2 linked regions of the Arabidopsis thaliana genome follow. The protein of the gene in region 2 purifies or fractionates together with the protein of the main gene of each other region. This does not show direct contact. Each region holds a gene or a part of one and is shown on either strand. Other genes may lie near its edges.

The links. Proteins that work in one complex are often made in the same cells at the same time.
Region 1: the proteins of STM (region 2) and AT3G03960 purify together in Arabidopsis thaliana (affinity purification with western blotting, with the first as the bait; one study listed by BioGRID). This does not show direct contact.

What each region holds. Positions count from the first base shown.
Region 1 is NC_003074.8:1,021,499-1,029,003, reverse strand, and holds AT3G03960 (TCP-1/cpn60 chaperonin family protein), read right to left. Parts: upstream 4,861-7,505; 5' UTR 4,573-4,860; coding exon 4,422-4,572; intron 4,210-4,421; coding exon 3,947-4,209; intron 3,859-3,946; coding exon 3,712-3,858; intron 3,602-3,711; coding exon 3,440-3,601; intron 3,285-3,439; coding exon 3,207-3,284; intron 3,089-3,206; coding exon 2,955-3,088; intron 2,874-2,954; coding exon 2,801-2,873; intron 2,720-2,800; coding exon 2,642-2,719; intron 2,556-2,641; coding exon 2,433-2,555; intron 2,352-2,432; coding exon 2,257-2,351; intron 2,145-2,256; coding exon 1,935-2,144; intron 1,768-1,934; coding exon 1,710-1,767; intron 1,478-1,709; coding exon 1,400-1,477; 3' UTR 1,113-1,399; downstream 1-1,112. Other genes in the region: AT3G03970 (ARM repeat superfamily protein), read left to right, coding at 1-267, 351-860; ECT1 (evolutionarily conserved C-terminal region 1), read right to left, coding at 5,237-5,278, 5,377-5,514, 5,636-5,848, 5,933-6,481, 6,630-6,851, 7,023-7,093, 7,451-7,502. UniProt on the Arabidopsis thaliana protein: Molecular chaperone; assists the folding of proteins upon ATP hydrolysis. Known to play a role, in vitro, in the folding of actin and tubulin. Contributes to stem cell maintenance through its impact on transcription factors trafficking through plasmodesmata.
Region 2 is NC_003070.9:23,057,618-23,064,754, forward strand, and holds STM (KNOX/ELK homeobox transcription factor), read right to left. Parts: upstream 4,447-7,137; 5' UTR 4,106-4,446; coding exon 3,677-4,105; intron 3,217-3,676; coding exon 2,961-3,216; intron 2,271-2,960; coding exon 2,017-2,270; intron 1,389-2,016; coding exon 1,179-1,388; 3' UTR 965-1,178; downstream 1-964. Other genes in the region: AT1G62350 (Pentatricopeptide repeat (PPR) superfamily protein), read left to right, coding at 1-318. UniProt on the Arabidopsis thaliana protein: Required for shoot apical meristem (SAM) formation during embryogenesis. Negatively regulates ASYMMETRIC LEAVES1 (AS1) and ASYMMETRIC LEAVES2 (AS2 or LBD6). Probably binds to the DNA sequence 5'-TGAC-3'. Binds to RNA.

The DNA of each region.
Region 1 (7,505 bases), on a different chromosome or scaffold from region 2:
GCAGATCCGATGTTTGATGCAGAGAACTGCAAGCCCCGAAACTCGCTCAGCGGATCAGTCAAGTCTACATCAAGTCTGCGAGAACATGATGGGAGTGTCTATAGTAGACAAGATAGGAGTTATGTAAACGATCAAGACGAGTATGATGTTTTGTTTTCTGGTGTAGCCAGTGGAAGAACTCTTGTCTCAGGCTCTCCTCTGGTGACTTTCGGAGACAATAACCAAGAAACTGGTTTTGTTATCGAGAGTCCAAGAATTGGAGATCAGGTAAAAAAGACTACAAACTTTAAAGCTGTCTCTTGTGTGTCCTTTTTCAGTGAAGTTTCATTGTGGTGCTTCTTTGATTTCAGATTCAATGTTCTGGTGTTGAAAATGGCAACATTGAGTCAGTTTGGTTCCATCAGCGGAACAGAAGCTCCGAGTTTAATGAATCTGTGTGCTCTAGGACCAACCGCTCAAGAAGTTCAAGACGAAACACCAAGAAGAGACAATCAGGAGACATTTGTTCAAAACATCACAGGCATGGTTTCGCACAAGATCCATTCACTGAGTTACTAGATAACAGACAGCAGCTGCTACAGTACAGTGAAACCTCGTCATCATCATCAATATATGATACCTCTGGTACTACAACTCCAACCAACACAACAGAAGATATCTGTGAGAAACCAAAAACAGATTTGGATTCTGAGGCCAAACTTAAGACAGTGGAGACTGAACTAGACCCACGTCTGGGACGGAGCAAGGGTGTGTTAAAATTGGGATTGAGTGTCTTCTCTATTGCAGTTGCAGGGTTTGCTTCTTTCATGTGGATGTATCTCCAGGATGATATGATGCCTCCTCATCTTGTTCCGACTTAAAAAGTCTAAGGGATGAACATTAAAAAGCTTAGAACTTACATAGGTTCAAATTCTAGCTTAGTTCTCTTGTTCTTTTGTCAATGTGTGGATCATGTTCAAATACTAGTTTGTTTGTTTTCTTTTTCCTAATGAATTTGTCACTTGTTCAAAAGTCGAAACAACTGTTAACCAGACATATTTACATAGGTTCAATTTCTAGTTAGGTTCTCTTGTTCTTTTGTCAATGTGTGGATCATTTTCTTTTCCCCGAATGATTTTGTCACTTGTTCAAAAGTCGATTCAAATAGAAACCAAATTGACATTAATACAGAGTTAAGCCAAAAATCCTAGTAATAATTTCACTAGCTAAACCGGAAAATCTGAGTGTTGAGACGAGCCAAAACAAGGCAAAACAGAAAAAGAAGGCAAAACACTTAAGTTGGTGGTGCGTTACAAAGATCACAAATCTTAAACTGAGACATACCAAAATTTTCTCAGACTTTCAGGAACAGAAGGTTACAAAAGAAGAGAGTTTCACTACGAGGTATTTGTTCTCCGGCTTAGTCTTCCTCCGCACCAGCACCTGCAGCTTGAGCTGCATCTCTCCTTGGTCCACCTGCTGGTTTCGCCATTATAATCTGCACATTTTACATAAATTTTGAGTATAAACATGCATGTTTTAGTAGATGAGATCAATCAGTGGAACTGAATATTGAATCTAAGAGTTTTCACGAACAAGGGACTTAATCCTGGAAGATAATGCATTCACCGAACAATATCTTTTTACTTCATGTGATGAATCAACACTTTACAATATAATAAAAAATTGCTCCGTTCACCAAAGATTAAATCAAGTCAGTTTGTGCATACCTGGTCTACACGAAGTACAGTGCATGCAGCATCTGAAGCATATTTAAGGGCAAATAACCTGCACAGAGACTTAAGCGTCTTAGTTATCAATTAAAGTGAATGGTAATCTTTGTAACCAGTCAGAAAATTCTACTCCAGTTTTTATATGTTCAAGAACAACTGCTAAGCAAGTATAGAGACGTCTGATAGAAATATTTGATGGCAAAAAGACAGTCTGAAACTTACTTGGTTGCAAAAAGATCCCATACTTTTGTCTCTGAAACATCTTTACAAGCACCTTCCTCTAAGTCAATGCCTAGTTTTGTGTTTCCAGATCCATGTCCAGTGTACAGAGCGGCTATGATTTCCATCGCATTGAGGCCAGCATTATCTGCAAGGGTCTTGGGTACAAACTCAAAACTCTCAGCGTATTTGGTGATGGCATATTTGTCCAACCTGAAATTTCAAAAGCGAATCCTAAGTTCAGTCCCCAAACCATAGACAGTTTTGCTTTAAAAGCTAGCCTCACATGTTTAATTTTTGAAAAAATGAAGTAAAAGAAAGTTACCCTATTTCTGCATTGGCGTATTCCTTCAACCTTTGAGCCAACTCTATTTCAGTCGCTGCAGCCCCGGGAACAATACGGCTGTCTCTGCACATGGCCTGAAAATAAAATTGAAGTAATAACAGTCACAAATTAATGAATTATACGATATAGATGGTACAAATGAAGCTAGATATTACCTTGTATGTGTTAACTCCATCATCAACAGCTCTCTCAAGGTCGTCCAAAATGCTATCTGTGCTTCCACGCAAGACCACAGTGGAGATGGAGTTACCACCTTCCTCGTTTCTTGCAATCGTGACCTAAAAGAAGACCGAGAATTGTCTATGATTAATGAAAGACAAAAATAATTAACCAAAAATATTGGAATTGACTTCGGAGTACTTACTGTCACACCACCAATTTCCTCAACCGATATAGAATCAACATATCCAAGATCTTCAGGGCTTGGCCGGCTAAGCTTCAACTGTTTGATAATTAAAGGATTAAAAGCTAGGATAAAACCACCCTTAGATACTCATTCAGATAGCCAATTAATAACACTTACATGGGCGACAGCCCCCGCTGTACGGCAAAAACGCCTCAGTTCAAACTTTGAGCTGATTTTCAATACCATTATCCTGCCAAGAAAAAATGGGGTATCAGAATGCAGACAATAACAATAGCTAAGACGAGTATAACATGATATGGTCTACACATACTTGTAGCGCTCACAGAAATGCAATGCCATTTCTCCAATTGATCCTCCACTAACAATGACTTTGGCTCCTGATTCCGCAACTGCTTTAATCAACTCCTCAACTTTAGCTTCCTCTGTCTTTGCATAGTTCTCTAGCTACAAATCCAATATAAAAAGAGAAATTTGTCACAATAACGATTACAAATACACAACCATCTTTGAGGAAGCCATAATCGTAATTTTGAAATTTTAGAAAGACAGTAACAAATCTAACCTGCTCAGCACTATGAATGAGGACAGTTCCTTTGGTCTCTGTTGCAGTGGTATCAACGCCACCAGCAAATACAGCAACCTGAAGAAAGCATAACAAATTGATTTAGAGACATTAAGCTATCAAAAACAGAAAAGACAAACCCACAAAGCTATATTTCATAGGGGACCCAAACATTGATCAATTCAGACAAAAAAAACTTTGTCAAAAGCATAAACAAAAGAAAGAGATCTCACCTTCGCTTTCTCCATTCGCTTAATGCTACCAACAGCATCACTTTTCAAGACCATACCACGGACTATGCAAGAATTGTGCAAGCCTCCTCCCAAAAGCTTGGAAACACGAACATTATCCACATTGAAATTCGTTGGATTCTTTGGGCAGACTTGAATACATGCCTAGAAATAATATGAACCCATCAAGTAAAATCTAAATCTGCAATAAACTTGAATAAATAACAATCTGAACAACGAAACAGGAAACAAATAGATAGCAAGGAATATCTTACGTCAGTAACTAAAGAGCAAATTATTTCCTCTTGCCCAAACTGCTTGCTTGCAACAGCTGCTCTCATCCGAGAAATAACTTCATCCTTGTTACGTACATCCATGGTCTCAGAACCAGTCTCAACCAGTTGTTCCAGTATTTCAACAGCCTGCATAATCAAAATCCAATAGCATTCGTCAAATACTCAAGACAAACAAATTGAAAAGCACAAAACAGTAATTCAGGTATTCACCAACCTTGCTGACAGCTTTAGTATATCCACTAATGATCTCACTCGGATGAAGTCCCATCCTGATAAGCTCCTCAGCGTTTTGAAGAAGTTCACCAGCAAAGGAGATTGTCAGATTAGCTCCATCTCCGATTTCTTCTTGCTGAGCCTTAGCAGCTAAAACCAGAAGTTTAGCAGCCGGGTGCTGAATCTCGAGCTCATTCACTATAGTAGCAGCGTCATTTGTGACAAACAGTTTGTCCAAATGATTGATAACCATTTTATTCATTCCTGAAACATTATAAACAGAAGAACTCAGTTCTAATCCGAATCTGAATCCCTAGAAAAAGACTTCACCTTTACAGTAACAGATCAAGCTTGCTTAAACTATACACAAGCGAGATCCTACTTACAACACTCAAGTAAAAGTAAAACGAAACGGAGAAAACGAGATTCATCATTTCAGTATTAGATCAAATCCCAATCAGAGAAACATTACGAACCATTGGGACCGAGAGAGGTGCGAGTAATGGTGGAGAGCTCCTTGCAAGCTTCAATGTTCTTAATGACGGCTTCGTCGAGACCAGAGAGATGCCTGTAACCTTCTTTAAGCATCGATTGAATACCATATGGCTGCATCGACATACCCACCATTTTCTAAGGTAACGATCTATAAGCTTCGAAGTTGGGTCACTCGAAACAATAGAGCAAAAACCCTAAAAGCGAAGAAGAAGAAGCTCTGTGAGATTTTCGAAGAAGTTTAGAGAGAAGGTTTTCTGTGAGTAAAAGTGGCCGAGATTGCCCTAGAAAACTTTCGAGGTTTTAAAATGGGAGTTCACAACGGTGTCGTTTTAAATTTTAAGGGGATGGGGGCCAAAAATTGAGATCTTAAATCTTTAGGGGTGAAAGTTGTATTATATGAAAGTTTAGGGACGAATAGAGAACACCATTCCTTCTGGTTTTTGTGCTAAACGGTGTCGTTTTAACTTTTATGGTGATGTGGGCCAAAATGTGAGATTTTTGACATTTACGGATGAGAGTCTTATTATATGAAAGTTTAGGGACTAAAAGAGAAATAACTTGAAAATAACATGATATGAACTTTGAAGGAAAGCCTGAGTTTTTGTTTTATCAGATGTGCGTCCCCTTAAGAGGAACAAAAGACAATGTAAGTTTTGTTTAGATAAGCAGAGAAAACACACAGATTAAAGATGTGTATTAGGTTTTTAGAAATCCCAACCCTGAAGAAAAAACATAATTCAAAACTAAGTTCTTTTAATTAAGTCATCTTCTTCTTTCCTTGCATTGATTCCATCTTTCAACTCAAGTTAATTGTTTCCCCCGAAGCTCCATCAAGGGCCTAATATAACAAAACAATCAAAATGAAACAATCCCAGAGACTGTATCAAGAGGGGTGGTTAATGTGCTTTAGATGCAGCAGGGTTTAAGGAATTGTACCTGTTTCTTTTGCTTGATCTTCTTGTCTCTGATGATCTTCTGCCTTGTCTCATAGAACTTGTAATCATCAAGTATACATGTCTTGCTCATATACTCCTTGAAGATCTTTATGATCTTGGTCCCATGCTCCAGATTCACCTGTACCAAAACCATCACCGTACAGTTTAAAAGCCTGACTAACAGCCATAATCATTATTTATTAGAATTCAATTAGGCTTCAAACATGTCCAAGAAAGGGTTTAGGGGAAGTTCAACGGACCTCTTGAGTGTCTCTGCTATTAGTGACAGGCTTGTTCTCGTTATTCGCCAGGGTAATGTGTCTTAAGAGACTGTTTGGTATGTCTTTGATGATATGCCACTTCACAGGGAAACAACCAATCCATTTATCTTGCTGCCAATACTCCATTGTCTTGTTGAAATCAACAGGGCCTACCATCTCCGCAAGACCAACAAATTGCCCACTTGCATTCACCTGTAGATAAAACCGATTACAGTGAGTTACTTAATGTAAATCTGAAAGGATATTGCACAAGACGTGAAGTAACCTCATACTGACCGAGAACAGAAGATACACAGGGCATTCTTGGGAGTTTTCTTTGGCTTCATAATATGCAGCATTCAACTTCTTGTTGCCAGTTGGTGTGCTCGACCATGCACCATACTTAATACAGTTATGAACATCATCTTCGCTGTATGACTTGATCACAAAGAATTTTGCTTTCACAAATGATTCAGGGAAATTCTCCCCATTGTAGCGCTGGAGATCTACTGCTGAAACGTCTTGCTTCATTGCATCTAGCATTGAAGAGTTAAGAACTTGTGGATTCTTGAAATCACTACTCCTTGGTCCTCGACATAGCTCATTAAGCCTATCTGCTTTCTCATCACTGTAACCACGCCCATGATTGAAGCTTCTGGTCTTTCTATAACCATCAACGGGATACCATCCTCGCCCAAGTTTCCAGGAATCATAACCAAAAGTTCCATATGCATGACCAGAGTCAATTACATTCCCGTAAAGTCCATACAATCCATGGTTGGAATACAAATGATCATTATATCCCAATTGGTCAAAACTTGGTACTTCTTGTGAGCTGTGTGGATTCTGTTAAATAAAACAGTTGTAGCCAGTAATTAGACAAAAAAAAAATCCCAAGTCCCAGCAGAGATGACGAAGAGAACAAAACACACATTCTCTTGACTATATGAAGACAGAAAAGAGGCAGAGAGGTCATGTGAAGTAACCAACATACCATGAGATGTGAAAAGGAACTGTGATTGCTGTTGCGGTCATAACCAAACCTCGGATCAGGGTAGCCACCAGAAGGATAGTTTGCTGGGATGTAACCCCACGGGTATGAACCAATCGAGTCTCCACCATTTAGCAGATTGCCAGCATTCATGTTTGGCCTTCTTTCACTTCCATGAGAAGATGCACCATAAGGTGCATGACCATACGGATGCTGAAAAGAACCCTTCTCAGAAAACAGTCAGTTAACAAAAAAAAAACTCACAGTATATCAAATTCACATTAAATGAGCAGCAAGACCTCTCCACAGAACAGTTTGTAGTTAAAGATCCTTCGACACAACACAATTTAAGTTCCAAAAACTTTAAATTTTCAAAAAGAAGTAGTAATTAAGTACCTTAGTAAAGTTCATAGGAACTTCATTTGCATCTGAACCTAAAGACAAGTCCTGAAACAAATCTGCTGTATCTGCAGCGATTATATACAAGAGCCCAGTTAATATTTTAAAATGACAAAGCCTCAAACTCCAATTGCACAGTCTAAACAAGGCAAATTACTGGTGAAATTCAACCCATAAGCAGATAAAAAAACACTAACTTGCAGAAAAACACAAAATTTCATCTAGCATCCCATAAAGAGGTTTGTAGAGAACTCTAGACACCAATCAATCCTATCAGAAACAGAAAACCTACGACAGATACTGATAACACTAGTCGCTAAACCCTAAACCCAAGGGTAGAAATCAATCGCAAGTTATAAGATGAGCACAAAATGATAACTTCCGATGCCAAAAAAGTTTTAATCTTTGAGCTAAAAGCAACGTACCCAGAAGAGGGAAGCTAGTGACGAGACGATCAGAAGAAGCGGCTCCAGCCATATC
Region 2 (7,137 bases):
AAAGTATGGGAAGATTTAAAGAAAGAAGAGGTTTTGTTTGATCAACATACATTTGGAGACCTTGTTCGAGGGTTCTTGGATAATGAACTTCCTTTAGAAGCAATGAGATTGTATGGAGAGATGAGAGAGTCTCCTGACCGGCCTTTATCTCTGCCTTTTCGAGTTATTTTGAAAGGACTCGTTCCTTATCCTGAGTTGAGAGAGAAAGTTAAAGATGATTTCTTGGAGCTTTTCCCTGGAATGATTGTATACGATCCTCCTGAGGATATATGTGAAGATAGTGATGAAGAAGCAAGAACAGATAGCGATCTTGAATAGAGAGGTATGTCTTGAATCAATGCTTGGTTTGGACTGTTTAGTTAGTGCTCAAAATGTCAGTGATGATATTATCCTCGAGGCTGACCCGATGTATCTTCGATCCATAGTTTCTCTTGTTCTGCACATCCACTAACTTCAGGAACCATGTCCCAGTTTCAGGTTAGATCAAGTGGGAAAACAAATGGAAGATTGTGGCTATGCAGAAACTGGAACTATTCGTCTTTGGTAGGAACAAATTATGGCTATTGAAAACTGAAGATGATGAGGAGCATATGAAGAAGAATTTGAGAAGCTTATAAGCGTATATATGTGTAAAGATCACTCTCAGCAATGCTAAATGCTGCTGTATTGAATCGGTTCAAGATAAGTCATATGTTTGTGAAGATACATACAGCAGAAAGCGTTTTAAGGGACAAAACTATTAGAAGTGGATTAAGTTTTGGTCGATCTTGTCTTTTTGGGATAGTGATGGGTCTGTTTGGGCCAGACTAGGTCTTTTGGAGTAATAGCATTCTCTCTTTTCTTTTCGTCTTTTCCATCCCAAAAGTACAAAATTTCGACGCAAATACTTAAAAATTAGCAAGGAAGATATACATACAACCAAAAAATGGTCCAAATTGTCAAAAAGGTTGTCAAATAAAAAGAATAGATCAAAAAAGCTTTACTATCATTATAATAGGAATAGGAATTTCGCATAACAATAGAACAACACAAAAGGATACACACCACAACATCAAACGCTTGTTCATCAATCGGAACATGTTTCATATGTTCCAAGTATACCGAGAACCATAGATTATACATATTATAAGCTGTTTAACGATTATAAATATAATGAAATAAACGTTTTAAAGGATCGATCAAAGCATGGTGGAGGAGATGTGATCCATTGGGAAAGGATTGCCCAAGACATTATCCATGAAGTAATGGTGAGGATGTGTTGCGTCCATTACTACAAACTGCATGTCCTCCGACGGCTTCCAATGCCGTTTCCTCTGGTTTATGAACCAATTGTTTATCTGTTTCTGGTCCAGCCCCGTTGATTCCGCAAGGGCGAGCTTTTGTTGCTCCTGCAATTTCATATCACATGCGAGAAAAAATCAATCATCAAGTGTTCTCTCCGATATAAGGTCAGTCCATGATCACAGCTACATCACGATTTGCTAGATTGTAAGGAGAACTTAGAATCCATCTACTCATACGAACATGGGTAATGACACTATACAAGTGTAATAAAGACATGAGCTACTATTGCATTAGGGTATGGCCTCATGCACCCTACTTTCCAAAGTTATGACTTGAAATATGTGCAACAAAGTTTAGTCTAAGTTATGGTACACAGCCATAAGATGAAATTGATCGTAGTCTTGACTAAGATTGACATATTATTCGGACCCTAAAAAAGGTATGGAAGCAAGAATCAAGTTTGTCATCGGCTAATAGACCAAAACAGTACACATAGACTAAATAAGTTCACTTCATTCAGCTTTTAGGATTTCAAATTATGCAAATGCATATTGTGCAATGCCAACATGAGCTAACATAAACTAATGTCCCTAACGATATAGTATGAATGCAAAAATCACTAAAAACATTGAAACAAGCTAATAGACAACTAAATTGAATTTGCTATCATATAAATGCTTTTTTAAAAACATGAAATGATTATTTAATTAGAGTATAAGGGAAGAGAGTTACCGAAGGGTAAGGCCATTTGTAGTGACGGCTCCACCAATCAAGCAGTTGTTGACGAGCTTCTTTAGGGAGCTTTCCTTTCTTCCTCTTCTTCATGAACTCTTGCTTGAGGCTCCCTAAGTAACCACTGTACTTGCGCAAGAGCTGTCCTTTAAGCTCTCTATCCTCAGCTTGTGGATCTACAAATTCATTGTTCATATCGACTTCTTCCTCGGATGACCCATTATTGTTCCTATCAATTGCTGTCTCTCCATAACCTTATATTGATTAAACATGTGAAAGCAAGACAAATTTGTCAACAAGAACATGTGTCTAGGGAAATGAAAAAGAATAGGCTAGTGATCCAAATAATTCAAAGTAACATGTTAAGTAGATGTGAGTTTGTGTGTCTATATAAACTTAACTACATTCTTGAAAAGAAGAGTGATATGACATTGTGTAGATATATGTATATGTGATTATACGTACAAAAACATGTGTATGTCTAAATTGAGCAATAGATCTAAGGACGAGCAGACTCTAGATCCAGATATTCTTTTTGATGCATTTGAATTAAATAGATCCAAAACAAACGGAGAAGAAAGAGACAAGAACAGTGATTGTTGTTGTACCAAAGCAAATGAATTCAATTCCAAACAAAACAAAAAAACAGTAAACAAACTGTTTTAATTCAATGAAAACAACTACATACACTAACTTATGTATAGATAGATTATACACGTAAACCTAGTAAGCTATATATAACAATCTGACACTAACCCTAGTAACAACCATCAAAGGGGTATTTACCCAAGAAAAATCAGAAAAAGGAAAATCTTTCTTAAAACCCACAAAGAAAAAAAACAACTTTCCTCATCTTACGTTTAATTTGACGCCATAATTAACAAGAATATGAATTAAAAAGAAAGAAAAAAAAACAGAGAACTAGAGAGAGAGGAGAGAGTAACCGGAGAAAGAGGAAGGTGAGGATAGAGAGAGGGATTTGAATTGACACTCGACACGTTGAAGGAAGACCATAGCTTCCTTGAAAGGTTTGGAGAGCTCTTGCTCATACTTAACGAGCATTTCACAGTAAGCTTCCATGAATTGATCAAGCCCTGGATCTTCACCTAGACATCCTGTTGGTCCCATAGATGCGGCAGCGGCTGCGGCAGACGAGCATGCCTCCTCTAGCCTCGCCACAACCTCCGGTGGTGCTCCAACCTTAAGAAATTGTGTAATTAGTAAATGATAGACATAAAAACGTTAATTGAACTAAGATAAGGATCCTCACGTTTATTGTGGATATATAATATAGTAAAGAAAAAAATGAAATAATTATATATGTCCTAATCTTCAAGCCTACATACAATATTTTGGATAATCTCTTGCAAGTAGGGTTTTTACAAATTGTTTCTTGAAACTTTCTCAATATAGGAAAAATTGTATCCTTTGATTTGTATATACTTAGCTGGGTTAAGTAACTAGTAAACAAAAGTAGATATCAAAATCAAACTCAGACATCAAGTAAAGGGTTATGTAAAAAGGAAATAAAAGGTAAAGTTTGGTAATTAGGGTTTCTAGAATCTTTCTCTTCTTTTTTGTGCAAGAAAATCAAATAAGAATCATTAGAGTTACGAAGAAACTTTCAAAGTAATTTTTTCAAGTTTCTTTCTCTCATCACCTTCTGACAATTGACATAAGCGGCCAAGAGGCGGTGGTAGTGAGGATGAGCCATGATCTTGGCCTTGACAGAGGCTGAAGAAGAGGAAGAGGAGCAAGGGTTGATTCCTCCTGCAACGATTTCGTTATGATGGATCTCCATTAGAGAATAGGCAGGAGCACAAGAGGAAGGAGAAGAAGAAGAAGCAACTTTGTTCTTAGTTCCTTGGGGAGGAGCTAGTGATTGAAGAAAAAGGGAACTACTTTGTTGGTGGTGTGACTGATATGCATAACCATCATGTTCTTGTTGTTGATGTTGATGATCATGACCATGATGTTGATGTGATGTCATGATGGGCGGCATCATCATCATCATAGGACACATCGGACCATCACTATTATCCCCGGCAAAAGCCATTGGACAAGAAGTGCTGTTGGAACCACTCTCCATCTTCTCTTTCTCTCACTAGTATTATTATTCACTTTGGCTTTGCTATATAGCTATGAGAAATAAAAAATGAAAATAACATAAAGAAAAAAAAAGAGGAGCCCCCATTGTAAATACAGCTAGCATTTATCATCAATATCATGAAACACATTAAAGTACTATAAATTTATTGGGAAACCCTAAAAGAGTAAGTAACTGTGTGTGTGTATCTATGGTTTAATTTAATTATTTGAAAATGCAAAAGTGGTCTCCCGGGATTTATGCTTCAACAATCAGCTTCCTTTTCCACATTGAAAATTCTAAATAGTGATAGTTATGGGGGAGAGGGAAGCAGCAGAAGAGAGACCAGGAAGATAAATCTAAGGAAATTATTATAAATAGGAAATAACTTTTTAGGAGAAACTTATTTTAAAAAAGTGTAAAAAGCAGACATGGACAGAGGTTGTGTGATCTGTGGGTTCTTAACTCTTTTGTGTTCTTCTGCTGAAATATGATTTCTCATTTATGCCTTTTCGGAAATTAATGTTGTAATTTCTCTTCTTCTTTTTTGAGGTAATAAACCGGATCTCAATTTATTTTTGACAATTTCTTGAAATGGAGAAAACCGGAATGTGCCTCGGAAAGTCCAGTGAAAGATATATTGGAATTTGTTATTTCTTTACCATGGGTCGGGAGTATCAAATCGAATGTTGTCATTTGGTTTTGGTTTTCATACCATGAATTCCCAAAAGTCTAAGTTTCCTGATGGGATATACGTATGCTGATGTTGGTTTAAAAAGTACATTTGTGTATATGTATATATGTATATTATATGGTATGTGAAGATATTATTAGGACTGTTGTACTCAAAAACTTTCTTAGATTCTCTCAATAATTAACCGATAGATCTCCATATAGTATAATTTACGCATTTGTTTCAGTAACATATATTGGATTCGCTTTTGTCAATAGGAAAAGATAGCAGTCTTAGTAATTTTATAATAAGTGATCTAACATTTGATTGCAATCAAAGTTTTAATACTATTGTAAATGTTCTTATGGGAAAAAAATGTTGTTAAGAAGAAGAAAAATGTCATAAATATAATCATAGAGTAAAACATGTAACTGTTTATTTGTTATATAAACGAAAATATTAAACACACATTTTACCTTAAAAAAAAAGTATCTTGTATTCTGTATTGTTTTTAAAAAGTGACAACTGATGGCTTGTTATATTAGACAACAATGAACCATTTGTATTTGCCACCATTATCATGTTCTCGACCTTTTTGGTCGATTGATTGTAATATTAGATGGTAGACCTCTTGCCACTTGAAAAAATAACCAATCACATTCAGACCACTAACCAAATCTATCGAGGCATTTTAATTAGAATAATATACGAGGCTATTAACAATTGTTAGCACTTCTTCGAACGTAGAATTGACTCAACATAGGACACATGTTACTATCAAGAGAATAAGCATGGGACACCTGTACCTGTTTATCCCTGAAAATAGTATACAGACTTGAGAAAAATTCATTTACGATTGACAAAGTAATTCATCAATTGTCAATTTGGAGGATTGTACGAAGGAAAATGATATTATGCATGTTACTTTAATACACAACGAAAGAAATGTATAATTTTACTTTAAATTTAATTGTCTAGTTCAATACTGTGGGAAAAAAAGAAAAACAATACAATTAAAATTATCAAAATTGATAAGTACATTACATCAGTGCCGTTTATTCGATCAACATTTCACTAGCCGTATGTATTGCTAATTTTGTTATCACTATTCGAAATATTATTTAGAAGTTGGATATACTATATATTCCCATACTCGTATGTCTATGTTTATAAGTAAACTATATAAAAATAAATATGTTAAAAAAAAGTAAAGACCAGTATAAAGCTAATTTTTCTTGCTTTTAGGTTAAGGACAGTGATTCGTTGAAATCAAAAGTCTTAGAAAAATATTGAAGAGAGAAATCTTCAAGGCAAAGTTTTACTTTCCCCATGAAAGAAGAAAAAAAACTCTCTCCTCAGCCACTGCCTTCACTGCCATTTCTGGCAAAGAAAAGATAACTGAGAAACTAATAGATAGAGAGAGATTACAAGGAACCCATCAAATCATATTTATATATTACCAAACTGGATTTTATTTCATTTGCTTCAAATTATGATTTATATATACCCTAAAATATATTTTTTTAAAAAATCTTCATTTAGTTATCCAAAATATGTTGGATCTGGACTAAAAAGAAGAAAAGAAGTGATTTTTCTCTTCTTTTTTTTTTTATTTTTTTTTTCTTTGTCTCCTACGCTCATAGAATTTTAAAATCGAAGTAATAAGTTCTCTTTTTTATGATGACAAAAAAAAAAGTTCTCTTTTTATCAATAATAAGATTTTAACCACAACAAATTAGGATAAACAAAATTAGGATAACGTAAAAAAAAAAAAGGATAACATAGCAAAATATTAGATATAAATATTTTTGCATATGTTTTCCTTATGAACTTTAAATAAATTTTAAATACAATAATTAACTTATAGGTAAATATTAATCAATGTTTTGTCAATTATCTCTAGTTGTTATTTTTAATTGCGCTGCGTTTTCGTTTAAGAAGTTATTATACTGTTTTCGACAATATGATTAATGATTTATGCGATTTTGGGAAGTGATGCACTTGCAAAACTTATATATATATCACACTATTTAAATATATATCACTTTTCATATTATTGAAAACGAACGTATATCTCTATAATAGTAGGACAAATAATCTGAAAGTAGTAGGGATTGGAAAGAGTATGAAAAGACATCATTACTAAAAAGCCATTTTGGATGTATATTCATTACATAACCGAAAGCAATTCTACTAAACAAACTTATTTCTTCAGTTTTGCAGTTTCTACTGAATATATTAGTTGGATCAACTTTTACCAAAGCAATACAATTTTATTCTTTTGCCATGGAACCAAAATTGTAGGATTTACTTAATTGTATTACCTAAACCTTTTTCATTTTTCAATGAAATATTTACATTT